Styela clava: one gene and its partner. The protein of the gene in region 2 interacts with the protein of the main gene of each other region in a biochemical or structural test. Links are inferred from orthologs where the notes say so. Each region holds a gene or a part of one and is shown on either strand. Other genes may lie near its edges. The genes, in order: uracil-DNA glycosylase 2-like and DDB1- and CUL4-associated factor 1-like.

Region 1 (15,758 bases), on a different chromosome or scaffold from region 2:
GTCCAGATACAGATAAACTATTGCTTTTGCTTAAAAACATGGAAATTTCTGAATGAAACCATGATTTTCCTGAATAATACAGCCATTCATTTTGGCTACTTTAATTGTAATGTGAATTATAGGCAGAATTAAATGCTCAGTGCGGAGCAGCATTATTTGTAATGAAAATATATACTTATTTTATTTATGAAAGTAATTAGGAGAACAGCATTATTTTATATACGTACAACTAAATATCCAAATATTTGGACTTTTGGATAAATACGGTAAATCACTTGAAAAGTTATTTTTTACAATTCTTGCAAAAAACCCACACCTATGCTCGATTAAAAAATATCACAGGATTACACAGTACATAGCACGCAAAATAAAATAAAAATTACCAACTATTGATGACAAAATTACCACCACTTGAATTTGAATTCATAAATTGGCCGTTTACAATAAAATTGTCCTATTAAGTGTTTATCACACACTCCAATGCATTGACATTCAAGTGAATATCCTCGTTTTGCGACGTCATCCTTTATACAGTGTATAAGGTCGTAAACATCGGGAGCTGCAAGCCATGGACCGAACGAAATACAAACATCACAACTACAGAAAAAAAATTCAGATATTAGGTTATTATTCAGTAAGGAGAGTTACCAAGAAGTATGAGCAATCATGATATAAAAATTTCGACTGCCATTCATTTTTTATTCATTTGTCTTCTACCTGCCAATACTTGACAGAATATAGCAGATCATCAGACATCCTCATTATTAAAATTAAAGGGGGTAGGACATAAAGGAGTTGCTAACTAAACCAAAAACACAAATGGGTACTCCTGAAGTATGCGCACCAAGATGTCGCATAACCTGAACTCTCACCTGGTACACAACCTGAGTTCAGGTTGTGCGCCATCTTGGTGCGCATACTTCAGGAGGTCTGAAATTTGATATAGTAACCTTTATCAAGAGGATGAATAATATAGCAGTTGTTTTTTATCAATTTTATCGCATTTAGAGCAGCTGTAAACAATAGCCACATGCCAAGCTTAGATGTCTGTATGAAACCACAATGCCATGTAGATACTTGATGACGCGTTGAGTCATGCACTTTTCAATGTACAGAAAAACTTCCTCATTGTACGTTAGGTTGAACAAGAGACACTTTCGCTCATCAAACGAGGAAGTGGTTTTTATCGTGAGTGATGATTTCCTGACATATGTAAATCATTATTTCGGACCAGACTAAGTCAAAATCTAGGTATCTAATGTAACCTGCTAATCTGGTTGTGACAAACCCACAGTAAAACTGATACTACTGTTGGATGATTTTTTAGTATTTCCTCAATAATGACCGGTACATTATAAGGAAAATTAAAAATGGCTTTTTTACACTAATCCATAATTTTTTCTAAAAAATCTTAGTGTGAGAAGTTTGGTCAGGATAATGCCTATTGTCAGAGATATCAACTATAAAAATATTTGGATTTAACTATTGCATATTACCGGAATATTGTTTCTGCTGATATTATTTTTGGGAATTTTACCCACCGTAGCTGGAATCTAGAATGTCCAAAAAATGTCCGAAAGCAAGATTTTCAATCGTAACTGAAAAAATCACGCAAACGTCAAAGTCTTCATATTTGAAATTTATTGAATGGCTTTTTTCAAATATATCTGAACAATAATAATTCACTAAAAATGATGTAGATGCAGTTCTGCGAATGAACTTGTATTGCATAGAACAGCAACCTTCTAAAAGCAATATAAGTACATTTTGGGTTTCCCACTTCTGCTCTGCACAAGGCCCTATACAAGCAGTCTCAACTGGAACTTGGATGAAATAAACAATTCTAAAAAATTCCAATTATAAGATCTTAAATCTTCTTACCTATGATTCATTTGAGATCCATTTGGATTTCTTTCACCAGGCACAGGAGGAAGTAATGAATTTTCATATGCAGTTATTGGTGAATCTTCTTTGTAGACACAAACAAGAAGTTTTGATACTCTATCTGGATGAATGGTTGCAACTTGCTGAGCTTTTTCAATTAATGCATTGATCTTTATATCATAACTTGGCACCTGAAAATAAAAGTGTAATATTTTAATATTTATAGCATATATCGCTCTTCAACTGCAGTTATTATGGTCTAGCAAAGGGTGTTTCAAACTGGGATCCAGTCACTCTGAGATTGCCAAAGAGTAGTTTCCCTGGGAGCCTTGAGATAACGTCTGCACCATTATCATTCATGGTCCCTACATTACTTTAGAGAAAATTGACAATGATTTGTTTAATTATTTGAATGCAATGCATTTATTCTTTTACCTTCGTTTGTTGATCTTTTAAAATGAAACATGACACATAAAATAACTGATGTGAACTCGACTAACGGAAATATTGATACTTTAATGAAAAGCAGGGGCCACAAGTCTCTGGAAGGGGATCATGAAACATGGAAGAACCACTGGTCTAGCAACTAATGAGCAATAGGTTACATGCACATAAATATTTCTGTCAATGCACAGACTACTAGATGAGTTATATAACCACCTATATTCTTATCATCCCATATAGGCAACAATTCAAATCGATTGAAAATTTTTGTAATGTTTCAGAACAGATAGAATAGATATTCCATATTAAAGGATTTTCATCAAGTATTTTAACATCTATTCTTTCTCTGTGATGCAATGGCTTGCATTTACGGTAATTCTTCCCTGTTGTTAAGATATCAGTTGGAATAGCCTCACCCAAAGAGGTGTTATTGAAAAGGTTATAGCAATAATACTTAGAATAAATACATTAGATAAGGCAGGAAAATTTAGTACGAAAATCAATATGTATTGGTAAACCATAATAATCATATTGCATTCTTCACAGCAGGAATAAAATCAATAAATTTTGCTCAAAGGAGGTTCATTATTTGTATACAAATCATTTTCAAATAAACAATATTGCGAAGACTCGAAATTAATTTTAGCTAAATGAAGGAGTAATAGATCCCAGAAGCAAAACAATGCTTAAATAATCACGATTTGTATTAGAAAACCAAGCAATTTTTTTGCCAGCACGGACTTGGTTAGCAATAAAATTTTGACCGAAGATGACAAATGTTTTCAAAGTGCAGTGCCATTCAGCAATTCGAAACCTAACTTTATATAACAGATGGGCCAATATTTTCTTAGTTCTGACTAATTATTGTCAAAATGATTGTTATAGTGTAGCATGAATCACCCTAAGGCCTAAGGGCTATGATAACTGTAAAAAAATTCTATGAAGTCCAATGCCTGAAGCACTCACATAATACTGTATCGTAAACAAACAATTACACAAATCTTCAAATGAATAAACATGGTGCTGCTAACAAGAGCTAATTATAGCGCTTTGTAGAACTCATAAAGAATTATAAAAAAATGATTCTAGAAACTTTGTCCATCTTAGTATTGAAAATTTGAAATAGATTGTTCTATTAGATATGAAGAAAGTGATTTTTCTACAACAACAATTTTGCAAAACGATAAATATGTACACTCAATGTCCAATAAGTTTCATCACATATTCACTAACTCTAACGGTTTACAGAAACATAAAATATATGTAAATTGGGAATAGAATGAACTCAACATAACAGCTTCTCCACTGTTCATAGTTGATTTAATTTCAAAATGATACACCATAATATAAAGAAATAAAACAGACAAATTCATCTTAAAACTAACCTCATCAAGAAATAATCTCCTTATTTTATCACTTGCAACAGGACAAGTTGAATTCAATGCAGAAATGAGGGGAGTAATATTATAATATTGCGCTTCTTCATAAACATCCATCACAAGTGACAGTGGTGGCATTTTATTTTCACGAAGATAATTCAGAATATGGATGAACAATTTTCCATCTCGGTCAATGAAATATCTAAAAAGTGTGTGCAGAATATAAACAATATAGACCTAAGGTTTACACCTTGATGCACTTTAAGAATATGGGCCAAAATTAGAAAAAAGAAGTCTAAACCAATAAGAGATAGTTTAATATTTTTGATGCGTAATATCTTTGCTCCAAACAAGACACTACACATTCCCCAACTTGTGAGTTCGTAAAGGCCATAATCATCTGGTGTAAAAAGATAGCCTCATCAATATATATAATTTGTTGGTCAAGTGGTTAGATTCAGAGTTATATATTTACACACAACATACCGATATATAAAATTGATCAGGTATATGATATACATTGCTATATATTACACTGTTTATGCATTGTTTAGTCCAGCGCTGCAATCTAGTGCAATACTATCGCCCGTTATTAAAAGGTCTGCAACATGATTGATTAGATGTCTGATTTATAAGGTAACAATTTGCATGTTCATTAATCATTCATAATATAACATGCCATGCTGGCAGGAAAAAGAATTGAAAGTTTGCAAGATATTTTGTAGAAAAGAAATAGAAATTGATTTATTATACATTTATACTCAAGCGTACTAATTAAAATGTCATACTGTCAGTTGTCACGTTCATTTGGTTTTGAAGAATTGAAAATAATCAATTTCACAGTAATGTTAATGAAAATACAGGATTATTCTGCATTGCTTATATTATGTGAATGCAGATTACAGATGGAGTTCGCATGGGTTCAACACATAAGCTTTAAACAAAGTACAGGGTATGTGGATAAATACATACCAAATTGAATGGTGATTATTAATGATGAATGAAAGAATTTTAAAGGTATATACTTCACCTAAACCATTGCAAAATACTTGGATTCTTATTTGTCAAGGCATTCTATTGAAATTTTCAGCATAAAACTATTTTGAACTCAATTCAGAACACTCATTTTATTATTAAATATAGATTGTTTTTTCATTCACAATGGAATGCATATATTCAAAAATTCATAATACCATTACTCACAGGATATTAATATTTTTTTTTAATTTCTCGGACATCATCAGATGGAAAATATTAATAATTTATTTCATTTCCTACAATATATTCTATTTCCGATGAAGATAAGAGATAAGAAAAGTCATATTATTTATCCCAAAATATTACAGTTATTGTTTTATTTGCTAAAAATACTGTACTGAAAGATTACCGTACATTCTGTTGAAAATAGGTTGATTAAACATGGACCTTGCTTCAATTGTCTACTTTGGCATTAAAAATACTTACCGGTAGTCGGTAGATCAATATTGGAAATATTTTGAACAATTTTAATATTGAATAAACTAGAAAAACTCAAAGGGAACCACATTATTCAATAAAAAAATCCCAATTCTCTGATTGAATCAACTAATTTGAATTTGCCCACTCCATCTTTTTACTCAGAAAGTGATTGAATGGCTTAATTGAATCTCAAAAACCTCGACTGCATTTGATAATTGCACGTATATTTTTTATGAATTATATACTAACCTTCCTTGATCATCCATTGCTAAATGATGCCGACCACTAAACATAACTGCGAGCATTGAATCTGGATATTTCAGAAGAGTTGATAAACTAGTTGTATGTATTGTTCCTCCAATGTTAAGTGTGATTACATTTTGAAACTAAATTAAAAAAAAATCATGAAAATGGATATTAGGAGCAATGAGCCAAAGGCATAATTACAAATTAGAAACATTCAAGAATACATAATCTAACTGAGATTATTTAGAATGTCAACGTAAACTATTTACTTGAAATATATGGTTATATTGGTCCAATTGGGCACTTAGTTTGTATCAGAGCTAAGTTGTCTGAGAAAACTTACATCAGACTCTCATTCAAGCTCCCCGAAACACTGTTGAGAAAAATTTGAAATGCATCCCGACTATGAGAAAACCAAATTTTGAGCATAAAACTTGGCATGTGTAAGCCTTCTTAAAGTTTTAATTGAGAACGCTAAAGTCAGTTTTTTTGTTTTTAACTTTAAAAATCTGAAATTCCTCCAAAATTCCATGGATCCATTTCAACTCTGCCCTGTCTACAACTATGAGGTATTGGAAAATACAACAAGGCTCGGACTTCAAAGCCCTGGTTCGTATTAGCCAATACCCCATCATTTGTAAACAGTGTGATCCACTCAATATCACAGCACACCAAAACAACATGCATACCTGAATACACTCGTTTTTTTCATAAATGCCATTTCCATTTAGTTCCCTTGAAGATGAAAAGGAAGGGTTAGGAACATCAACAATTTTCAACACATTCATTGACGACGGCTTTACGCCAGCCATGACTGACAGAGGGTCATGACTTTGCATAGCTTTATCTAATACAAATATTTAACTAATCTGTCCAAAATCAATGTGAATATTAGTATAAGCCTTTTTCTTTTACAGACTATATATAGACTCTCAGGATTAGAACCTTTTTTTTCTCGATTGGAAGCATCATATAAAAGCATATTTTTATTCAAATGGGTTGGTGTATAGAGCTTTGTTTTGCAAAATTTTTGTTTTTCGTTCAGTGGTTTTTCAAACATCAATTTTAACAATACCTAGTTTTGTTTTTAACACCACTTTTAATAACAGAAAAGTCAACGAACGTAAGCAAAAGAATAAATTCAATACGGTCAGAGAATTAAACAAATCACATTCAGTTCACTTTAAATTATTTGTAGTCATGACAAATGGTACCTAGCAAAGGTCTTTGCTCGTGGTCCCGAAGCACCATCCCTTGGCCCTCCTAGTTAAAATATTCCGATCTAGATGAATAAGTTTTTAACAAAATCATATCAAAGACCCCAATCAGGGATATAATCCAAACACGGTATGTCAAATTTCACTGAAAATAATAATAATAATAGTAATAATACTTGGAATCATAAATTCCTGCCAGTCAGGACTTGAAATATATCAAATAATATGACAACCAATTTTTGCTGGTATCTGTTAATTTAAAACACCTCGTTCGAAAAATTAAGATTGTATGCTCAAATATGACTGTATCATAATAAAGTTTATCAATGTATCCCATGCTTCACAATTGGAAAAGCACTTTAGAAACAGCAACTTTTAAAGTGTTATCAGGTCACTAAACTATCCAAACAACTACATGTTGCAAACTATTTACGTTTGAACTGAGGAAATGCAAACATGCATCATTGCATGCAAACAAAAAACGCTGTGAATCATTTCACTTGCTATATAATGTCCAGGAAATAGAACTGATGACTAGTAGAAAGCAGATGTTTTCAATAACATACATAAGTAAAGTTAGAAAAGATGAATCAAATACAAACAACCTATGATACGTCAGTGTCACATAGACCATGATCTTGGCAGTCAGTTCATAAGAGTAAGATCACATACATTTTCCAATTAACCGCACTGAAAAGAATTTGTATAACAAACAATTTTAAAATATTAATAAAAATGACTACGGTAGGTTTCACTCATGTTTATATGTTTCCACAGATGATAAACGAATCCAAAATTCTCATAGGAATAAAATATCAGTTGTAATAAATTCTCTTTAATCTCGAATCACATGGGAATCGATGACATTTATAAACAAGTTATGGATGATGAGTAATGCATAATCACGTGGATTTAAGATATTAGTTTCATAAATCAGTAATTTGCAACGTTTTGTATAGATCACTATAAAATTCGAGGAAATCTATCACACTATATGAAGTAAAATATTTTCACTACTCAAAATTATTTTGAGTTAGACAATATGACAAAGATAAAACTACCCCTTAATTCCTAAACTCAAAGTTACAATAAAGCCAGATCGAATTCTAACTTGATGAAACATTTTGTGAACGACAAATATTGATAAAATAATATTTGTATTTTGACAAAGTAATGGTACTAATTTATATTGAAATTGGCCAATCCGTTCTGTTAAATGACAAGCGACCCCACCCCATACATAAAACACATACACACCCTGTTTTCATAGTTTTGAAAAGATATTCATTCTATCGGTATGTTTGATGTAAATATTTTAGATCAGTCAAAACAAATCAAAGGCAACATTTGTAGTAAGTATTATTCCCATGTACATAGAAAATTTTCATTCAACATGTTTTAAAAACACTAGAAGCTCTCAATTTCTTTGAATTTAGTTTGTCATTTCAATACTTTGAGTATATGCCAAAAAACTGAACTATCACTCTGATTCGAGGTCCCAATATAATTCAATAAAATGAATCGGCAGTACTTCAACGGTATCTGATGAGGTGTAGAAATCAGGAAATTCACATAAATTTTAAAAATTATCATTATGAGCAAGGGAAGGTCATAGTAAATTCCTAAAAAATTATTCAACTTCTGAAAAATGTAGCAAAATAACATACAGACATTGCAATCAAAAAGTCTTAACTTTTCTGTGTTATTGTAATTCATCACCATGAATGTAGAATGATATCTACATGTTCTGTGTTGTTCAGGTCAAAATCAGAACCTATTTCTTACACTATTCAACTAAATCGTTCATGACTGTATTCCTAAAAGATTGCTTGGGTAGATGTCTTTTGAACAAAGTGATTACTCAGCTTTGTATCAATTTTGCACAGACATTGAAAATCTTATACTTTCATTTATTCCTATGTTTTTTTTTATATTGCTATCTTAAAAGTTCAGCTTGAACTCTAACATGGTACAGGAATGTTGCCAAAATTTCAAATGCTAAAATGAAGTTTCAACTTGAGACACAAAAGTATTGTAGTCTATGATTAATCTCACATTGCACTTCATTGAGGATCTATTTGCCCTCCATTATTATTATTACTCACTAATTTTCCCATCTGCAATTTTTGACTCTGTTTACATTAGGTGAGGACAAGTAAAGTTAGATCATTGTCCCACCTTCAAACTTATCCTATCATAACCCAATATAGGCTATATCTGTATATAGAATCATAACTGCATACTGGCATAAGGAAGGACCAAATCAGAAAATGAGTGGTGGGACAATACCACAGTAACAGGATAGTAGTACCAATTGAAGAGCTGATCAATTCTGCAATTTCAATCAATCATTTATTTCGGTTCTCTGACATCTAGACATGAACAACACAAAAAGTGAACATACAAAAACAAAATGCAGGGTGTGCATATGGTACCGTACCGGTACCTACCTGGGAGGCGAGCATAACTTAAAATAAGGTTAAAAAGCGTACAAGTACCGTACCGTACGTCCGCATATTTGCCCACACAATTTGAAGCAGATCTTTCTCCTTATTGTGCATACATGATGATCTTACTTTCCCTCATCCAGACATATCTGCACCGCCTGCAATGTCGCTCCGCCGGTGCTCGTCCATTAACGTTTCTGCAGCAGCACATTTACTTCAGGAATTGGAGGATTTTTCATTGAATAAGTATATCAAAAACAGCTCTATTCCGCCATATCGCGGGAAATCACATGCCGACAACCAATGAACATAGAGCTCCTTGCAAAATGCAGAGAGTGGGAAGCAGGAGTATAAGGGGTGTGTCTGTAAAGTAAACAAACACAAATACACGTGATTCGACCGCAACGACGCGTGTCTTTATGGATATGACGTCATAGTTAATAATCAACTTTTAGACATCGTGTTTTTTTTTGGCGGCAATCGTTCCCGCCGTTACTGCTTTATCCAACCGCAATTTTCAGCGGTTTTTATTCGCTCTTGTGGCAGAGTGGTGTGTGGAGCGGTGCTGAGTGAATTTCATTGTTCCAAATAAGACGCCTGGCTGGCACATAAAAGCCAGCTAAGGCGTCTTTTCCATTTCCAAAGACGCCGGAACCCAACCTTGTCCACAAACAAAAATGTCATCACAAAGAAAAATTTCGTCTTTCTTCAACGTGGCTCAGAAGAAGACAGGCAACTTGAAACGACCATTGAAAGAGAAGGTATCTTATTTACTTTTTTCAAATGTTGTTTCGATAATTAACCGAACATACGGTACAGGTACGGTACAAAGATAAAATGTATTTGAAATTGTCAGATCCGGCAGATTCAGAGATATTGATATTTCATGTCATGCTGTCATGCGCATATCTCCATACAGCTGTAGAATTTAAGTTAATTAATTAAAACATTACTGTTTTTTGTGTGAGAGTAGTCCAGTCCACAGCAGTGTGAAATCTGCAGGGATCACTATATTATAAATAGTAAAGTAAAGTAACAATAAAATTTGAATGCAGCAAACAATAGCAGAATAAGACAATGGTTTTTGTTACAGTAGGCTAGCATGTTGTTCAATCTCTTTCCAATATTGTCGCCTATCAAAAGCACCAACTCAAACATTTTCCTCCCTTTCTTCATCCCAGGATACCGGTACCAGGGTACTGGGATACCATAATATTGTTTTAATTCACTTTGATAAATCTATGACATGGTAAAAATGCTTCTTTTTGTAATTTATTATTTCTCTATCGGACTATCACACTGTAATTTTATACCTTTCTAATCTTCTGGCTAAAATGCAATCACTGAATCATAAGTTTTGTGGAAATGCTTTTTACTAATTTTTTTTTTGAATCATTGCTTCTGGTTGTATTTACAATTAGAAAATACCTTGAAAGAGGAGTAAATTGATAGAATTTGATACATAACATTCGTGTGTTTTAGGTCAGTATGGTCTTGTGCATACATCCCGTCTTCAGTATTTAGAGAGTATCAACTCTTTTATTTTGCTTTTACGAGACGAATAAACATACATGCTCTACATATCATTTCGTCATTTTTGAAAAATTCATGAACTAAACACTTTCAGACATTATGTTTTAGCCTCATGTTACACCATGATGCCACAATCAGCTATCTGACTATTAAAGCTATTAACTAAAAGAATCCTAATAACTAGCACTAACTCACGAAATCACTGCATCGAGGCTATTTGTTCTGTTGTTTGATCATAGCAGGTGGATATGTACCTAATGAGTGCAGGAGTGTCTTCATTCCTACATTCAGACATTTGCAGATTTGGCTATGGTTATAAAAAATATAACATAGCCAAAATCTATCTTCACTATATCTCATGTCTCTGTAAAATATAATAAATATGATCAGCGCATGTTCTGATGTTACACCATATGTTTGTCAGGAAATCTGTTCATCAGCAAAGAGACCGTTGACTGAGTCACCTAATAACAAACCAGTACAGACACATATTTCATTGAAGAAACAAACGTATATGGATTCTTTAGGTCTTGAAACAATTGGAGAGTCTTGGAAAAAAGCTTTAGAGCCTGAATTTCATAAGGACTATTTTGTTAAGGTTAGTCTTCAATTTATTTGTATTTTATTATGTTGTTTTTACAGTAATATTCGTATTCTGATATTTGTCGTCTAGTATCAAGATAGATCAGTGGTGGGCACGGTTTTTGGACCAGGGGCCAAAAATTCTGCCCCCTCAGACTGACTGGCCATGTAAGTGTATTGTAAAAAGTTAAATTTTATGAACAATATATACAGTGTTACAAAAGCAAAAGTGGAAAACAATGATCCTTGTGCCAAAACTAATTCAATCCAATCTCAACTAATTCCTTAAGCTATTTTTTTAGCTAAAACATCAAAATTTGGTTTTAATTTGGTTGTGGCAGCATCAGGAGGACCAGATTGAATTACACAACGGGCCGTAGTTTGTCTGAGACAGATAATTCGCAAAAACATAAAATTAATTTTTTGTACTGTTGTACCTCATTGATATTTTCATTTATTACTTTAGTTAGGCAAATTTGTGACATCAGAAAGATCTTCACATACAGTGTTCCCTCCAGTGGAAGATGTTTTCTCTTGGACACAGCATTGCAAGTTGAAAGATATTAAAGTTGTTATACTCGGCCAGGATCCTTACCATGGTGAGGGACAGGCACATGGATTATGCTTCAGTGTCAAAGTAAGTTAATGTAGAAAAGAGCAATGTCATGAAGGTCTAACGACTAATGCAATGTTAGTAAAATTTCAGCCAAATGTAACAAAATACACCAAATGTCATATAAAGGTGTGTACCAAGGTTCGCCTATGAATTGAGAAAAATGGCAAATTTTGGGGCAATATATTGGACCCTGTTGTAAAATTATAAAATAAGAGCAATTGCTTTCATTAGCGAATTCTTACGACTTTAAGTACTTTAAAATTTAAAATCGATTGGCCTATATCGCAAGAATAAGTGGTTTTCACCAACAATAACTACCCCAGCCAGAACAATCAAAACATCTAGCAAAACGATCCAGACATGCATAGATTACAGAGTGTCCACTGTTTACAAATATGCTTGTATTCTAGAATATGTCTCGGCTATGCATTTTGTGTTATATTTCTTCAGTTAAATGATGTTATTAATCAAATTCAACGTTTCATGGTATCAATGTCTTATTGGTATTTGTTTTCTTTTAGAAACCTGTGAAACCCCCTCCTTCATTGGAAAATATGTTTAAAGAATTGAAATCTGATATTGGAGGTTTCAAACACCCTGGTCATGGAGATTTAACTAGATGGGCAAAACAAGGTATCGTACTCAAATAAGAAAGGAAGACCAATAAAAAATTGAATTCATCGTTATTTAGAGTCGTGCAGTTGAATTTAATTTCAGACAGTTTATAAAATGATAAAATTTAAATATGAATTCCCATTGGATTCTGTGTCCTGTGCGGAATCGCATGTTCAAAATTCCGTCAGGGATACCTATCTTCGAGAGGATTGCTGAACACCTAGTAGTAGTTCACGTTCGGATAACCGCTGTCAGTCACACCTTTTTTCAACGTCAAGTTCATTAATCCTAACCTGATAACTATTTAAGTATTTTCACATTCAACTTGGACTGGTAAACTGCCAAGTGAATATACCCCCTGCCCGTAATTTTCAGTCTCTTTACACAATATGCTCTGTTATTTATTGAATAAGCGAATATGAGATTGAGATTATATTTCCCTGTTTTCATGACCGCCTAATTTGTACAATATTTTTGCGGGCTCACTAGACAGGATAAAAAAAACGAAAAGTACTACATATCAGCATGCAATCTCTCCAATGTGATGTGTGCTTATGTGGGATTTTAACATGCTTTTTTATTTTATCCTTATACTACTGTTCTTAAATATAAGAGCACAGATGATTTTATCAAACTTTCCTTACTAGGTGTCTTGCTTTTGAATGCTGTCCTGACGGTCCGTGCTCATTCTGCTAATTCTCACAAAGACAAAGGATGGGAAAAGTTCACAGATGCTGTTATAAAATATGTCAATTCCAATTGTACTGGAGTTGTATTTATGTTGTGGGGATCTTACGCCCAAAAGAAAGGTGCAGTAATAGATAAGGTAGGAATTTTTTTTATTTATGAAGCTTACGTTTTGCAAGTGCCTCAAGGGAAGATTGGTTGAATGCCTTGGACATGAAGGCTTAGTGATTGTGATTGAAGCGTTAGACATAACCATACATCAGTATCGCAGGTTATAATCTCTGGTTCAAATCTCGTCACATATCCCAGGGTGAAATAAATTAGGTAGGCAATGCTCAACGGGAATGCTATTGTACAGGCCTTGTTCAGAGGAAAATACTTGAATAAGCATTGTATAATATAAATACAAATAGCCATAGTACAAATATTTGAAATATTCATTTGAGGTGATGCGAGACGTAATGATTGTCGAAGTTGAAAATCATTTTTAAACTCGGATTAATCCATATATGTATTCAGAAACGACATCACGTATTATGTTCTGTCCATCCTTCACCATTGTCAGCATACAGAGGATTCCTCGGTTGCAAACATTTTTCTGAAGCAAACAAACTTTTAAAAGATCAAGGAGATAAAGAAATTGATTGGTGTGCTTTATAAATATTGCTGCTTTTTATGTTCTTTGTACGATTTCATTCATATTTGTAACTTCTTTATTATCGGCTTGCTGCTCGACTCACTGCCATGTTCATGTAGCTTTGTAAATAGTTTGTTTTGTATGAATCGTAGTGTGCATTGTAATAAACTGCTTCATAGTCTCTTATATATAAAAATTCAAGACCTTGATCAATACCCACTAATTTCTCACCAGGGTTGTCAAATTTGGTAGTTTAAGATTCATATGTTCTTTCGAACTCCTGAGAGACCATTTTTCTGATGTAGGCCCTCAAGGATTAGTAAAAATGAAGGATCTCATAATTTCTGTGAAAATAAAATTGGAATTGTTCATCAATACGCTATATGGCTCGAAATTCATTGGCGAGTTAATTCTAAACTAAACTTCCAGTATTCTTTTGACTTTGATTTGAATTAGAACCAGAAACTTTTACAAACCCGAACTTTATCACCCTTTTTTGGAAAAAATTTAACTCGTATTTAAATTTGCGTTTGTAATTTTGTAATGGTCTAAAATTTCAGTTGAGAACATGCTTACACAAATTTTCATCATTCAATGAACACTTTTTTAATATCATTTTGTAAATAACACATGTTTTGTCTTCTGTTGAGAGTGGAGGTATGCTCATAATCTTATATTTTAAATAGTTTTGGTTAGTTCTTTTTTGTGTATACTTATGTTGGTTTATCATCTAAACAGAACTTATTATTATGGTTACGATTTGTCATTTTACTCGTCCCTGAATTGAAATATTATAGAATGGGAAAAAATTAGTAAGTTGCAGTTTGTGTCTGAATACTACTACCCTGGAAGTCAATGTTATTTTTACGGTAACTATCTTTTTGTTCGGTTTTTAAACTTCATATTAAGAACAAGAAATCTGAAAATGTTTTAAACATGTTTAATGCCTTTAAGTCAATCATATTGTACTAGTAGTTTCATGTATAACCAGTAGTTGCTTATATGCTTTGTAGTTTAGTAAGTGTATTTGTAAAGTGTTTAATCTAAATTGTTTCTCTTAGCAACTTGTAATCATAAATTCAATTGTCAACCCTTGCCAAATTTGACAAGAAATTTTTTCGAGAGTGAAAAATCATTGAATCATAGTACTGGCAGCCATGCTGTTTCCTCTCTTCAAGTCAGCCCAGTCACTGCCCCAAAAAATTAAATGCTGCCATTGTCAGAATCATTTTAAAATTGACTGTCTAAATTATTCGTGCCATAAGCTGAACAACAACCATATTTTGTATATTATCTTGAGTTTGCTGCTAATCATGTTCCTTAATACTTTTCTTTGTGTTACTTTTTGTTTTTTATTCTCTACACCAAGCGTCACCATTTAAGGTTTCAGATGGATTGAAGGTCTTTTCTGAATCTTTAGATGGTATGACCGGGACGTGGCTTGCGTCACACTGCCTATGTGATAGTTTTACAAAATGTGCTGCTATGTATGACTATTATTAACTGCCCCTAACAAGGCAAGTTTCATTTGTAAATACTTTTTCATTACTCGTTTTTTGATGTTTGTAATAAAATTTGAAAACCTTGATGTCTGAAGTTCATTGGTTGTAACCAGGGGAGCTTACAGCCCTGCGATCTGCATGAACCATTTCTTGGAATGTAGGTGGATACCAACTTCGGTAACAAACTCCATAGCTGACAATTCGTGTTATATTTGGTGTTTTGAAAGTTCTGCGTTAAAATTATATGAAGAGTGTCATGCAGCCCTATTGTGACACTCTTTTTTCCGAGGCGAGGGAACCTCTTGTTTGATACAAAACTACCTGTTCTTAAAATTGTGACTTGCGGAGGTAAGTAATTACCAGGGCTTCTTTTCTTGCCAGAGGTACCAAAACTGAAATTTCCTGGTTTGTGTAGACATTAATTTCCAATCTCCAGGTTGATAATTAATTAGGCACTACGTGTCTGTGACAACAAATCATTTACTGGAAGCTATGTTAGATCTATTCTTCA
Region 2 (16,327 bases):
GCCACGATTAACGATTTATATTTTATGGGGCTTATTTAGAAGTGTTCAGTTGTACAGCAGCTTTGTAATTAGAGAATTTGGTGCTCGCCACGATATGACTCTGGCTAAGATGTACGAATCTACAGCAAAGCGTTGGCTGACGCACTATGACAGATCAGGGCAAAATTTGTTTCAAAGGGAATCTTAACTAAAACTTGCCACCAGATGGCCTTTTTCTGGGTCATGTCAACCAGTTAACGAAAGATTCTCTGCTAGTCGTAAGAACCGTATTAAACATAAATTAAATATTATTGCTCCTGAAACAATATTTGAAAATTGTCAGTCAATAATGGTGTGATGACTTGCCATACTTTATTTTAAATAACTTCGAAGACGGATGAATTACAACACTAATATTTACAAGTTTGTGACACCACCTCAAAACCTGTAACCAAGTTTGATAAAGCAACACATTTTTCCCAAAGAAATTTAATATTGACTCAAATTTGGCATTTGCATGTATCAGAGGAAGGAACTATGATAATCTACATTGAAAAGAAAGAAAAAAACAAGAAGATTTAATTTCAGTTTAGAGGAATTTTAGCAGACACACTATTCATGATTGATCATAAAGCACTTTATATTCAGATGGTAAAACAGCAGTGACAAATACATAGAAAGAAATTAAATTCAAAAACCCTTCACCATTCATTAAAATTATACTGACAAAGAAAAGAATCAGGCCCACTACTGAGTCAGACTTAAAAATTTGGAACTTCTTGATAATTGGCATAAGAAATACAGTGATTGCAGGAATGTGTGACTCAAGACTGACAACAGGGATAATTAATAAAGGGGAACCAACATTGTCGCACTCAGTATTTAATGCATTGTTTCAAGCAGGGATGGGAAAGCTACAACATACTCTAAGTGTCTTCAGCTCCTAACCATTTATTTTCTCACACTTATAATTTTTTAACACTGCAATCAACCCCTTCAAGTGTATACATATTTTCAAAATCTAACTTTCAAGAAGTTTCAAGTTGAATATGTATGATCAAAAGTTTACAATATAATTTGAAACTCCCATATCATAGCTTCGAGTCACGATTTTGCAAAAATGCATTTGGGCTGATGTTCCATATCACTGGCCATACCATGAAACTTCAAGGAGCCCTCGTGAGGAAAGATGAAGCAAAGTTGGAATACACTGATTGTGATTTAAAACCAGCTCTGGTTTCAAGCAGCCCATTCTTCATCATCTGTTGTTTGCCAATCACTTGATGAATCAATGATATCGAAACTGATGTCATCTCCACTAGAATTATCATTGTCATCACGAAGCATATCGCTAAGCCGGTCTAGATCATGATCCTCACCTTGCGAGGACCCATCGTCACCATTAGAACTACCAGAAATGCTGCTGCCATCTCCGTCACTCTCATTGTCCTCATCGTCAAAATGACTCTCAACGTCTTCATCATCCTCATCTCCTCTTGTCATACCAACTTCATAGAATCGACACACGCTCATGGCCGGTTCACGCCATTCCTCATCTTGAGCTAACGTTTCCACGATAGCAACACTGCAATCCTTGCTATCGACGGCAAGATCATAGATCTGATGTCTAACAGCATTGAATGCCAGTTGCTTGTATTCGAGTGCATCGAAAGTACGAAAAGCTGACATCAATGACTTATTTATATTCTGTTCTTCACTGGTATAAGTGTCTTTGGTTCTGACTGCGTAAATTATGGTTCCTCCGCTGTTAAATGTAAGGTTACATTGATCAAGGGCAGGTATTGTATGAAGAAGATGATAGTTTCTCAAGTCCCAGACTTCGCTATTAATAACAACTTGTAGACCATTTGGATGGAATACGCCACTAATTGTTGTATTAAATTGATCGAATTTGTGAATTGGCAACGTGTGAGGTTTACGAACATCCCATAAAAGTCCATCTGAAAGAATAAGTTTATCATCTGGAGAAAAAGTCGCACGATTTTCCTTGTAATAACAACACATATCTTCTCGCTCAAAAGTGTCTAAAGCACTTCCAGTATTTACGTCATAAACAGTGGCCTTGTGTTCTTTTGTCCCAATGATCTTATCTTGGTGAAGTTTTGAAAATTCAGCATGGTCTATGTCTTCAAATGTAAACTTATGCTCAAGTTGTGTGCCTAATGAATGAAGACTACAGTTATTGGCCCAAATTGATTCTGCAGTAACTAGTATTGAATCTCCGTTACGAGAGGGCTGCAGAGCTGAAATTGGCATTCCTGCAACACCTTGTATTACTTGATCTTCAGCTGAATAAAGATTATGAATAACAACATCTCCTTGATAATCCCCAAGAACTATTTGTTCATCACCTGGCATGAAAGCAACGCTACAAAATGGTACTTTTCTGTCTTCTGATCCTTTAAAAACATATCCCGGTTTATAGCGACTGTAAACAAGTTGTCTGTCACACACTTCACCCCCAATTCCTCCCCAGCGAGGGCAAATTCCCTCACGAGAAACCAATCTTTTCATGACGTTTGTTGATGCTTCGACCCTATAACGTGGATCTGGACAACGATGTTGACTGAACAGTGAAAATTCTGGAACTGTGGCAACAGGATTTCGACATTGAGCATGTTGATGTTTAAAATTTTCTTCAATAATGGAATTCAACGTTGGTGGACTTGGTGGTTCCTTACTTCGGCAGATCAAAGGCTTTGGCTTTACCGAAACAATCCCATTCTGTGATAACTTAAACCTTTGTTGGCCATTAGAGCCATTGTAAGCAGACAAAGGATCACTTTTACCTTTCAAATGTCTCCTACTGGTGCTTTGGTTTGGAATGTTGATAATATGAGATGAAGTTGGTGTGTCTCCTAATGCATGAGAACCTCTTGTGAAACTAATTCGCCTGTTCACACTAGAACTGGCATCACCACTGCCATTATTTCGGTGCTCAGATATTCCTGAGGAAGCTGCTCTTGGTCTGGATTTTGGCGTCGAAAGGATGCTTTTTTGATTGTCTGCGAATAAACAAGCATCTCTAGCAAGAATTTCTGCTGCATTATGCAGCTTTGACCAAACTAGATGATTATGAATCATTTGAAGAACTTCTTTATTTTCATATTGCATGTGCGTTTCAGAAACAATGTGTGATATACGAATTGCATCTAAATCCAACTCCAAATTCATTGGCCTACCAGAAACTTTTTCTAAAAGGGCTCCCATACATTTGCAAAATTTTGTATGCAATCGTTTTTTGTAGTGAAGAACTGGTTCTCTAGCAACAGATTGTACTTGTCCACCAATAAAAAATGGCAATTTTGACATAATTTGAGCAATTGGTTTATAATTTGATAATCCCAATAGCGCTTTGCATGCAAAATATCTCACTTCATCTGCATGCAAAGCAGGTTGATTTATGACTAGTAATGAGAGAAGAACAGAAATACCATTATTATATTGAACATATTTCCACACCATTTCCCTCTTTTCTGTTTTAGATTGTGAAGATTTGGAACGTGGTGTATCTTGTGGCCCAGGTGTTGATTTACGATGATCAGTTGCATAATCCCTCACACAATTCACAATTACAGCAAGAGCTGACTTTTGTGTTTCACCTTCAACTGCGAACAGAGTTCCCCCTTTTGCTATATCCAACATTATACTAATACCGGTAAATTTTTTATTGAGAGTGTGATGTTTACACAAAGTCAATTGCGGTGATGGCAAGAGAGTTACCACGGCAAGTACATCCAAAGCTGAACGTATAACTTCTATTTGGCCTGTGTAAGTCACCCAATCACATGCAATATCAATCACTTTCACCATCAATGCAATTCCATCTAATCGATAAAAATTGAGAACAGGTAGCCAGTTACTCATAGATCGAAAGCTGGCATCAGTAACTGAGATTTCACCGAGAACTTCAAGATTTTCAAAGAATTGTTCGCGACTGGAAACCATTGGTTTATATTTTGATACAGATTCCACAATGGTGTGTCTTTCTTTGGATTTTGGAATCGATTTTTGAGCCGAGCAAACTTTAATCTGCAAATGAGCTTCAAAGTATTTTTTAAGTGCTGCACAAACTGTTCTTGTTGTTTGGCGCATGAAAAGTCTATTGGCGTCTTCATCAGGATCATAGTTATCATCTAGTACATTAATAATAATTTTTGACATACTTATCATATTCATAAGGCAACGTAATCCACTCATCTTATCAAAAAGCTGTAAAATCACTCGGAATGAGAAAGAAAATGAGAAGAACAATGCCGCATGAGATCGACCAGTTTCGTGAGAGCATTCCAGCAACCAAAGAGCATATTTCACTAAATCACTCAAAATACGAGCAGGCAGCTGACAAGCTCTTTCCATTGCATCTTTTTTGTATGCTAAGTAATAAATACATAGGGAAACACCTGTTGAACCCATTGATGGTCTTTGAACGGATAAAAGATTCTGTATTCCATTTAATTCAATGAATTCCGTGGCTACTTTATTGTGACACAGAAGAGATGCCAAAAACTCTAATGCTTTGAATATTAGTAGTCCATCAAATTTCTTTTCTTTTATGTAAATATTAATTAATTCTAGTGCTTTGAGTTCAAGGAAAATTGATAACAAATCCTGATACTCTCCCAAACATTTTAGAAAATCAAGAATAAATCTTTGGCAGACTTCTGAATGTAGAGGAGGTTCAAGGCTGTAACTGCATCCTATCATCGCAGGCATTTGCTCAGACCAGCTACTGTTACTCAGGTCATTGTCGTAGTAATCGCTCGTAAAATGCATTTCGCCATTCGGTGCTGGGGAATGTGTGCTCGTATGCGGTTTTTCACTGAATATTCTTTTTAGTTTTGGGGCATCTGAGCTGTTTGATAACTTGCGTTTTTGTGAGCGAGATTGTGAAGAAGTCTTAACTCCGATAGAAGAATCAACTTTAAAAGTAGATCCATCACATTCTGACTCTGGAAATTTACCAGGTCTAACATGGTTCCATAATCTTTTGAGCAAAATTGATATCATTCTTATATATTCATCATTAGAAGTTTTCTGGGGTTCTATGGCACCAACAAGCAAACCTGTTGCATATGTCCTTAGTGGCTCATCAGCGTCTGTTACCCATTCAGAAAGGAGTTTGATTAACCATTCTTTTTCTTTGAATAACGTATGAGGCTCTAATCCAGGTAAAGCGGCTAAGAGAAATCGTGCAGAGGCTAACGTAATTTGAGATGGATTCTTTGGATTTGTTGTCACACGAAAGTAAGATGATGTAAGTTTATCCATGAAATCATGCGACTTTGAGAGAGAAACAAGTAACTTTCCAAAAACACATCCAGGTTGTGCATATTCAGGATGACGCTCATCAAAAGGGTCAGGATCACCCTTATGAAATTCTATTGTCTCTTCTTCGAAAAGTTTTGCGCAGTCAGTCAAAAATGGCACTGGATCATAATCGCTTGATTCGTGATTTGACTTCCATGCTTCAACTAATTCAGAAAACTGCTTTTCAGCATCTCTAGCACTAGTAGTAGTATTTTCCATTACTTATAATCAGTATAATGCTGAAAATCAAATATATGTGACTGCATGTATGTATTTATAAATGAGTTATGGTCACATAATATTCAATGATAATACTGATTCTAAGTTCATACAGTTGCATTGGTCATTTACGCTCTTTTCCTGCAGTATAAGTATTGCTACTTAATAAGAAAAGGCAGGATGTAACAGGAATACCACAAAAAGGTAGAAGTGATTGACTGACAGATTGGCCAGATGTAATTTATAAATATAAGCAGGCTATACAACTGACATAGGCTAACTACGGCCAGCAGGCCAAATCTGGCATGTTGGATAACTCAATCTTGCCCGCCTGGTGCTGCCACAGCCAAACTAAAACCAAATTTTCATGTGTCAGCTCAAAGAATTTGTTGAAATTGCAATTGAATTTAGTATGACACGAGGCTTATTGTTTTCCACTTTCGCTTTTGTAACACTGTAAATATTGTTCATAAAATGTAACTTTTACCGGTACGTCACACTTACATCAGTACATGCAGACATGGCTGCCGGTCTAGGCAGCTAGGTGCAGATTTTATTACCCAGGGCAAAAAACTTTGCTCACCCCTGCTATACAACAATGTTAAAATTATACCGGTATCATATCCAAATCATTTTTTTTCAAATACAGAAATACATAGACTACTAGACTATGAATGATTTTAAGCAAAATTGCCTGTTTTTACAGTAAAACGCCAAGTTTTTTGCCAATATACCGTATCCTGTGAATTTATTCAATGAAGATCTTTTCAGAATAGCCTACTTGACACTTTTTTTTTCATAATTTTCAAAAGCCCTCACACTGTCACAGTATTGCAGTATATTAATCATACCTGTTATTTTGTCGTTGCATGCGAAATTACATTATGATTAACCGTGTATCAGATCAGCCATGTGCTCATATAACAATAATTCATTTCCTTGCCTTGATTTAAAAAAATATAGGATTCCTATCAATTTACATTCGAAAATTGTACGCATACCGGCATACTACTTACTAGTATACATACGGCACGAATACAGTACTCAAAACTCAGCTTACGCGATCAGGTGCGATACAGTGAGATGTGAGCGATGTGTGGCTCATCGTGCTAGAGGCGCAGTTCTTACCACTTCATGGCAGCTCCTGCCACGAACGTACCACGCCGTCTCCTGCCATGGTTTTATGGCGCTATTACCGGTACATTTACAAATTCATGTACCATATTTAAGTTTATCATGCGAAATTATATCTACTTAAACCCTAACCCTAACCCCAAATCCATCCAAACTGTATCCATAAGAAAAACATTCCAACTCACTAAATATTTATCTCCATCAGCAGATTAGGGGCAGCCCTGCTATTACAGCCGACCTGCCGTGGTTACGGCAGTAAAATTGGTGGTATTCGATTTGCTGCCGTAACCACGGCAGCTCGCTATTGGTTTGTGGCAGCTAAAAAGTCAGTCGCCGTGGGTTTGGTCTTAGTGGCCGTGGTTTGGAAATCCCGCCATGGTTTTGCGGCAGCTGTAGACGCCACAAAATACTTGAAACTGCACTTGTCGTGCTAAGCGTCGGTCGGTTACCGGTACGGCTTTCTCCACCATCGAGTCCATGCTTCGGAAAAACAAATACCTGACTTGTCCCATACCTGACATGGAATGGTAACCGGACGAGAGGACGTGGATCGCCATATGGTTGAGCCGTCAAATCGGCTTTCCTCTGTCCCGAGATAAATATGTAAATCTTATCCTCATCGTTGATTGTTCTGGTGTTCGACATCCGCGATTGGTGCGCCATTACTGTACTGTACCTAAAAGGTCTGAGGAAAGAGTGTTCCCAAAGATGAAAAGTTACAAAACACTGAAGGACTGAAGAAGTTGATAACATTTCTCCCGACAAAGATGGAGTGGTTTAAGACTAGGTCCCCAAAAGACTGTGGCCTAAAAGAAAGAAGTGAAATTTCTTCCGACCGATTGAAGTCACTAAAAAGTAAAAGTGGATGAAATTTCTTTTGACGCAAGATGAGGTGGTTGAAGTGCGCCGGCGGTGGCGCGGCGGTGTGGCTCAACGGGCTAAGCGTTAGGAATACGCTCGCCACCGCACCTCTAATTACTCTGCGTGGGTTCGCAGGTTCGAATCCCATGCAGGGATGGTTATGTGCGAGAGGATTGCTGGACTCCTCGCCGTCGTTGGGTGGTTCACGTAACCGCTGGTCGGTTACGGCTTCCTCCACCACCAAGTCCATGCTTCCGAAAACAAACAATACAGTAAAACTAATCCCATACCCGACTTGGAATGGTAACCGGACGAGAGGCCGTGGTTCGCCATATGGATAAGCCGTCTTATCGGCTTTCCTCTCCCCCGGGATAAATATGTAAATCCTATCCTAAGTGGGCTAATTCGCCATGCAATGGCGGCGAAAGGACTAAAGCAGCGGTTCGCAAACTTTTTGTTCGTGCGGCGCCAAATTATCAGAAAAAAATTCTCGGCGCACCTACCGTGTTTCTCCGAAAATAAGACCTACCCTGAAAATAAGAAAGTCTTACCTACCCTGGAAAGTCAATAACGCGAATTAATATTTTTAAATAATTTTTTGATTATTATTTTGATTTTTATTTATAAGTGAATGGATATCGGTTTCCATATTATGTATATTTGAAAATCTCGTAATTCTTTATTTTGTAATTTTGTTTTTGATAAATGAAAATAAAAGACACTCCTCGAAAATAAGCCTGAGTGTTATTTTTGGAAGAAAGTTGAAAAAGACCTAGTCTTATTTTTGGGGAAACACGGTACATGAAAAAAAATTGCTGCGTTTAAATAAAACTAATAGTTGTGATCGTTAATGTGCACTTTATATCTTTCCCCGAGCATCGACCTCCTTGTTTACTTCGTGACATTGGCAAATCAGCAAGATGCAAAAAGTGACGTAACAATTCTCCCTTTTCGCATCCGCTCAGACACTTTTCTCACTCAGACAGATTTTCAAGCGTGGTCGTAAACATTACCTCGTTTTCGCGTTTTTGAACGCTATTCATTAGTTTTCAGTGTGTTTCGAAAACTTAAAATATAAATCAGATAATTCAATGATTACCCTATCTTCCTAGAAGTTTTAAATTAATTGCAGTAATAAAAAATTAGTGTATAAATAGCTGTGATAAACTAGGTTAAAATTCTTAATCGCTACTTTTAAAAAACAGATTGTTGTATGCGATGAATCATAATGATGGTTTGAAACACATACCCCATTTTGCAGGCGCCAACTCGCAAAAGCACTCTTGAAATAGCCCCGAAATCACTTTTCGGGGGTCAAATCCACAGAACCTGATTCCGTATAGAAGAGAGAGAGAGATATTCATTATTTTGTCAACCAAAATACGAACAGTCATCAATAAGAAAAAAATGTAACAGAAATAAAAATTGCTTTGGTATGTTTAACCGTAGTAGTATTAATTTACGCTTCAACCGGTTTATATATTTACGGTTTATATTTACGGTTTAACACAATTTTGTTAATTTTCGGGCGCACTTAGCAAATCGTCGCGGCGCACTCTTTGAAAACCGCTGGGTTAAGGGTTAAAACTGAGGTTTTTTTTTTGTTCTAAAATTATTTTAGTGGTGATTATTCTACTTAAAACTGCAATAGAGTGTTTTTGATACTGAACTTCAGTGGGCGCCGATTTGCAAATTTCACCTGAAGAAAAAACAATATAGGACTGACGATATTACATATTGTATTTATTATAGATATTTTATATTTTGTATTCGAATTTTTTTTGACATGAGTGATATTTTTAGTATTTCAAATGAAAATCGGGCAGACATGAGAAAGAGAGTTGACCTTTTGCCCTTATTCTTTGTTAGGCCCACATATTTACAAACTTTACACAAAAGTACTTTACACATTGACGATCACAAATTTGCTACAGGGGTGGTGACTCCTCTGAGGTCCATGGGCCGGGGCCACGGCCTATCTAATTGGGCCACATGGGCCGTGGCCCATCAAGCTATGGGCCGCGGCTCATCAGAAAAAATTCAATTGTCTTACCAAAATTTTCAATTCTTACAAAATTGTCAATATTCGAACCAAAAAAAAAATCGCGGGATGCCACCAAACCTTTTTCTTACGATAAGCCTTTACATAACAAGAGAGCTATGCTCTATATGGACACATAGCGCCACCCAGTGGGAATAATTTTGATGAGGTCATAACGAAAAAAAAAGAAGTCGGCCTTCTGGAGAAAAATTTTATCTTCAACCACTAAAAATTTCAAAGCAATTGGTCCAGTATTCGAAGAGAAAAGCGATTTTTTCAAAACGTGTCAAAGAACAAGGACACTAAGAACAACAATGAGAACAACAACAACACAATATTGAAACGATCGCTATGTCCACTACGTGTCCAAAAATAAAGCAAAATACTAAGCTACAGAAAAGGATACACCTGAAGTATGTGTACCAGGTTAGGGTTAGGAACTTAGGACAAAATTTTGTTCAAACTTTTCACATTATAATTCTATTATAAGTTCGGGAAGTGGGTAGGATTTAGGTAGGATTTACATATTTATTAGTCTTTATTATTTCATCCCATTACACAACTTGATGGGCCGCGGCCAATAGCCTGATGGGCCGAGGCCCATTTCGATGGACCGTGGCCCCGGCCCATGGGCCGTAGAAGAGTCACCACTCCCACTCCAAATTTGAGTTTTATTTGAAAGCAGCTTTTTATTTTCGTGTGAGTGCGTAGTAAGTTTTTTCGCTGATAATTTGGCGCCGCACGAACAAGAAGTTTGCGAGCTGCTGCTGTGCCTAATGTATAGAGAGAGAGAGAGAGAGAGAGATTTATTGCCACAAAAACAAAATCAACACTAATAATTATAAACATAATACAATAACGAAAATATTCCACAGTAATTGATTATTGCTTTGTGCGGGTCGGTGTGCAAGACCGATTAAAGTCATCTAGGCTCCCGACCCTTGTGTATGTGCTATATATAAGTTCATCATAGGTGGATACAAATGAGATCAAATATCAATATATAAAAAATAAATACGAGGAAAAAAGGAAACGAGTCGGCAATTTAATGGTATTATGGAATAAATATAAAGAAGAGGTGAAGAATTTGAAATACTGAGGAATTGTATTTGAACTATAAATCAAGTGTGTATAAATTAAGTATGTATAACAATGAACATGTCTAATATATTTAGTTTTTACTTTTATTGTACATAATATAATTCAATATACTAAAAATTGATGAATTGTATGCCGATGCGATCAACACCTCGTCATTAAACACTGATGGAATGGACATATGAAAAATGAATATTGGATTATTTATCCTATGATTGCTCAAATGGTTATATACTTTTGGTTATATTTTATTATATTATCCCATTAAAAAAAAAATAAATAAAGAAGAGGTGGCGTATTATATATACGCTTTGGAGGTGGCCGTTTTTTTTTGGGCGATACGTATCATAGGTTTCAAGTCATTCTAATGATGAAACGTTGACGAAGGAATAGCCTTTGGTGGAGGGAAGTCTGGGAATGGTTAATGTAGTGATGTGTGTAAAGTCTCAACTCGTAAAAAAGGATTGGATATGGCAGGTGAGATGAAAAATCTCACCATACCAGTACCATAAATACATGTGGATTTATATATTTATTAATGGATATTTTCCCCCACAGTAGTGACAGATACTGTAACTTGTAACTGGCCAGACTGGATTCCATGGCAGGTGCACGCCCGAGGGCGCTAGCGCTCCGCAAAAATGCACGCGAGCGAAATCAATTTTGCACGCCGAAAATTTGCAATTGCTCACCAATGTAAATCGGTTTGAATGGTTTTAAAATCAATAATCCAGTAATATAAAGATGCCAAAATATTATAACTCCACAATTGTCGACAAATACCAGCTTGCAAGATTTGGTCTGATCGAAATATTGCGAAGCAAAAAGACCATGGACCTTTCCCCAACCTTTGACCCGGGAAAAATTCCTCTCATTGTTACGTCCTTTTTTGCATCTTGCTGATTGGCCAATGTCACGAAGTAAACAAGGAAGTCGATGCTCGGGGAAAGGTCCATATCGTGTTGAATGATAGGAAATAAAAATCCCGTGAGAATAGTTATGGACGAAAAGATCGCCTCCGCACCAATGGCCAAGTACGGCTCTGATTCAGCGTATTTTTCATACAATAATTTTACACGAATGTACTGAACAGTACCGGTATCTAAAGTTGCTCAAACACTCCCAAAATTAGTGACAAAGTATGAAAAGAATGTTTGGGGTCAAAGGTCAAACGTCCATTTTGCTCTAATTTGACGTATTTTTTATCCATTAATTCTACCAATGACATTAAACAACATGATGCGCAACTACGGCATTTTTGGCCGAAGATCGTATCCGATAGCACGCTCCAATGCACATACTTGACGAGACGAAAACGAGCGGATGTGTGCTGCTTTCAAGCATAGCACGAATGGTGTTCGTGCCGGCTTTGACAGTTGTTGTCGATTTTAATGATATTTTGGAAAGTTGAGGTAAAAAGAAATCGGAAAAAGGTAAGGTAAATACTATTGTTGTATATCACACCCGGGCATCGCACTGTTCAGTACATGTGGGAAAGCCAGCTTTTGTCAAATACTACGAAGTTATTAATTCAGTACGGTACGTAGTTGCCCATTTGCCGAAATTGCATATTTACTTACCCCTTATGGTTTCAAATAGTTCATGCACCTCCATTTAGATTTTTTTTAATCAGTGAGGATTGAATCAAAGGGTTAACAAGTTCACCTAACATTTCATTCATACCGGTCTATATTGTATAGTCTGATCTCTCAAGTATATGGAGTCACGAATGCTTGTAATTTTCTGACTAAATTCCTTCATTAGTTGGTTTATATACCAAATTCAGTAAAACATTTTTACATTAAACATGAGATATTGGATTTATTAGCTTTTCCATTCTAAATCATATAGACTGCTTCATTTATTCTTGACGAAAATTAATAAATCTCCTCTCCTTCTTCAGATGTGAATGTGGACAAACCTGTCTAAGCATTGTGAGACTCCTGCAGCACAAGAGGCAATAGCAAAAATAGTATGTATATCAATCAAGAAATTAAGCCGACATAAAGCAAAAGTTTCAACTAATCGTCTAATCTCAATTTCCTATTACTTATTCACAGGACAACTACAGCAGAAGGGGAGATATCAGAAGTCTGGCGACATATCAGTGACCGTGTGATTCCAAGAAATATAATTAGAGTACTCCATAAATGTTTGCAATAGAAGAACAACCTATGGGAGGCATGCAAAGACATTTGACCCTCCGGTAGAGTTGTGTATGGCACCCACATCCTGCAGGGCTCAAGGAAAATATCAAAAAATTCTAAAGCGTGAGATTGCATAAGCGGTCCTATTTGTAAAAAGGCACAAAACATGCCAGACATACTTAAAACAGCGTTGGAAAATGAGGATTACGGCTAACTCACTACACCTGTGTTATATTTGGTTCATCAACTTTTGGTAGTACTATAGAAGAAATTCAGGAAAGGGTATAATCATGATTCATGATAAAATCTGTTACATTTTGGACAACTTCAATCTAGACCAGGGATGTCAAACTCGCGGCCCCAGAGAACTTCCAGTGCGGCCCTCGAACGCTTAGCAATAATTGTAATAATATTTTGGAAGTTTTTTTCTATCTAAATGTAATAGATTTTTCAAAATTGATTATTCACACAGAAAACAATTTACTGTAGTTTTGGAAAATTAATTTGTTTTTGTTCACATTCTGACCCAATTAAGAATACACATCAAGCTAGCAAAAGAATACTTGAATAAAACACTTGAGTGATTAAATTAAACGCAAAGTACATGAAGAAGGTGGCATTTTCAAAGAAAATGAGAGTTGCAATATTTCTGCATTTCACAAAATTCTGAAGCACATTGTTTAATTTGTCATATTTCCATCAATACAATGAAAAAACACATAAAGGTCAGCACTCAATATCACAAATTCGAAGGGCAACTTTGAACAGAAAATTTTCATGTGTTTGTATATTAAAATAAAATTATACAACGACTTCGTTACTAAAAATCAATATCAATAATAATTCAAGCAATCCTATGCCACGCAATGTGGTGCGAAATGTCTTTTCGAAAAAATCTGTCATGTGTTTTTTTTGTATCTATACATGAAATTATAAAAATCACTTTTTTGCATTACTGGAATTAATTTTCGCAAAGATCCAGATTAGCCCATGATCATGTGACCTCGTTAGTTAGAGTTGGTACTACAAAATCATTTCAGCCTGGCCTTAGTATGCTGGTGACACAAAAAAGATACCAAACGTCAGGACAAATGTAATTAAAAAAACATTGAGTTCATACTGTAGTATTTTTGTTAATTTTAGGTCCATATATTTAAAATAGGTCATTTTTAGTGTATGTATTATTCTTTCCTTATCCAAAGTTTGTTCAAAAAGGATTTTGATGGATGTACATAGAAGTTTATGATTTTTTGTAATAAATACAGTAACTTGCAATAATAGTGGAATGCAAATATTAATATGTAATTGCATTTGAAATTAAAGAAAATAATGAAACTTAATCCAACTGTTTAGTTGCATCACAACATATGTCACAAACTAAAACTATCTTAAAAATATCTTTCAAGTATACATTATCAAAAACTGTTTGCGGCCCTTTTTACAATTTCCAAAATGCAATGCGGCTCTCGAAAACCCATGAGTTTGACACCACTGATCTATTCTAGACGATCCAAGCATTGCTTTGGGAAATAATATCACTTCAATCAAATTGAAAAAAATCTTGCTATATTAAATACAAAATCGTTGTTATCATAAAGGTAAACTAATTCAGCCACTCGAAATATATTGGCCTTCACAAAGCAATGGAGGCAAAATTAAGAGTTCATGAGCTATAAACTTATGTTCTTTTCTTTGTCTTGAATTTTTCATACTCCACAGCCGCTATTAATTATTTTTTAATTTTAAATACCATGTGATGGTCATACATATCTTTAACTTGTATTTTCTGATGATGTGTTATCTCAATGTGTCAAACTATTAATTAGTGTGCATATTTTGCTTCCAGATGACATAAATGTATTGTCTTGTTTATTACCTCAGCTTGGAGTATGGACAAGAAAGAGGTGCCAGTAAATTACGTCATTTTTTTTTAACTCTTTGTTATAATCAGAATCCACAATTAATAGGAAATATAAACAGCCAACGACCAATGAGAATTATATGCGAAATCCCTCAGAATAAATTTGTCTTCTAAAATCGGAGGAATGCAAAACATATAGGTAGTTTCCATTCACACAAGTCTTTCAAGAAGACTTGCTCGAGCCAAACTAAATGAGCATGGTCAGGTGATCGGTAAGGCTGCAAGTTGAATTCGGCCCTGCAACCTCCTGCATAGAAGATAATATTAATTAGTGGGCTGAATGATTAATTATCACATCATTAATTAATGAGCTGAATTCCTAAATTTAAACAAAGCTATCTACGAGGCATTATGTACCAGCAATGTTACCTACGATTAACTGAATATGTAATATGTCTAATTAATTCACCTACAAAAGCAAGTTCGATAGGTGCAAACTTTGTGTTATGGAATTGTATCACAGCACCGTTAGGAGAAGTAAAAACAGTTTTACTGTCCTGTATGACACCCTCTTTAAATGAAATTTCAATGTTTAAGCGCAAACATTAAAATTACTAACCTTGAAATTTTTATTATCTGCAAAATGTTCCGCACAAATCTTTCCGCTATCGCGTTTGTAATCTTCTCTGATAAAAAACGTCTATGATGTCCAGAATTGCTCTTTACAGCTTGTCTGCCATTCCAGCTTTCCAAGTGAGTAAAACTTTTTGGATATAGAGATTATTTTCTTTCGTTACAGTCGCAAAAAGGCAAGTACTACACGTAAGGAAGGCGCCAAGTAGCAAAAGCGAGCTGAAAACGGTCGCGAAGGGCGACGAGAAATATGTGCATTGGAGCGTATCATGAAATACAATCTTTCGCTTGTAGTCTTACGGAGTGACGTCAGAGTTGCCTATCATGTTGTTTAATGTCATTGATTCTACGTAAAAACAATACCAAAATTAATGACAAAGTATGTCCATTTTGCTCTGGTTCAACGTATTTTTTATCCAATAATTTTACGCGGATGTACTGAACAGTACCGGTATCCAAAGTCGCACAAACACTCTCAAAATTAGCGACAAACAGTAGAAATAATGTTTGGGGTCAAAGGTCAAACGTCCATTTTTTCTCTGATTCAACGTATTTTTTATCCGATACCGGTAATTTTACGCGGATGTATTGAGAGGTATCTGATGTCAAAGTCAGTTGCACGCGAGTGCAGTTGTTTTGCACGTCGTGAGCTATAATTGCACGCCAGGAATTCTTATTTGCACGCGGGAATTTCTGATTGCACGCCCGATTTCTCGTTCAAAAAGGCCATGAAATCCAGACTGGGTAACTGGTAGCCTACCATACTAAATCCACATTTAACTTTGTTACCGTATTACTTACCCGGCGGTGTGGCGCATCGTGCTAAGCGTTAGGAATACGCTCGCCACCGCATCTCTGATTACCCTTCGTGGGTTTACAGGTTCGAATCCCATGCAAGGTTGATTATGTGCGAGAGGATTGCTGGACTCCTCGCCGCTGTAGGGTGGTTCACGTAATCGCTGGTCGGTTACGGCTTCCTCCACCATCAAGTCCATGCTTCCGAAAACAAAATAACTGGCTAAC

What was found.
Region 1: of the proteins of DDB1- and CUL4-associated factor 1-like (region 2) and uracil-DNA glycosylase 2-like, one has a biochemical effect on the other in vitro, tested with the Homo sapiens proteins (2 studies listed by BioGRID, with this or other methods). The link is inferred for Styela clava from reciprocal best matches to the Homo sapiens genes DCAF1 and UNG.

The regions. Positions count from the first base shown.
Region 1 is NC_135252.1:16,926,318-16,942,075, forward strand, and holds uracil-DNA glycosylase 2-like, read left to right. Parts: upstream 1-9,604; 5' UTR 9,605-9,752; coding exon 9,753-9,836; intron 9,837-11,032; coding exon 11,033-11,206; intron 11,207-11,656; coding exon 11,657-11,827; intron 11,828-12,327; coding exon 12,328-12,439; intron 12,440-13,068; coding exon 13,069-13,247; intron 13,248-13,627; coding exon 13,628-13,768; 3' UTR 13,769-15,333; downstream 15,334-15,758. Other genes in the region: BTB/POZ domain-containing protein KCTD7-like, read right to left, coding at 402-597, 1,882-2,075, 3,714-3,909, 5,415-5,551, 6,101-6,250. UniProt on the Homo sapiens protein: Uracil-DNA glycosylase that hydrolyzes the N-glycosidic bond between uracil and deoxyribose in single- and double-stranded DNA (ssDNA and dsDNA) to release a free uracil residue and form an abasic (apurinic/apyrimidinic; AP) site.
Region 2 is NC_135250.1:9,074,894-9,091,220, reverse strand, and holds DDB1- and CUL4-associated factor 1-like, read right to left. Parts: upstream 6,404-16,327; 5' UTR 6,381-6,403; intron 5,550-6,380; 5' UTR 5,530-5,549; coding exon 1,219-5,529; 3' UTR 330-1,218; downstream 1-329. UniProt on the Homo sapiens protein: Acts both as a substrate recognition component of E3 ubiquitin-protein ligase complexes and as an atypical serine/threonine-protein kinase, playing key roles in various processes such as cell cycle, telomerase regulation and histone modification.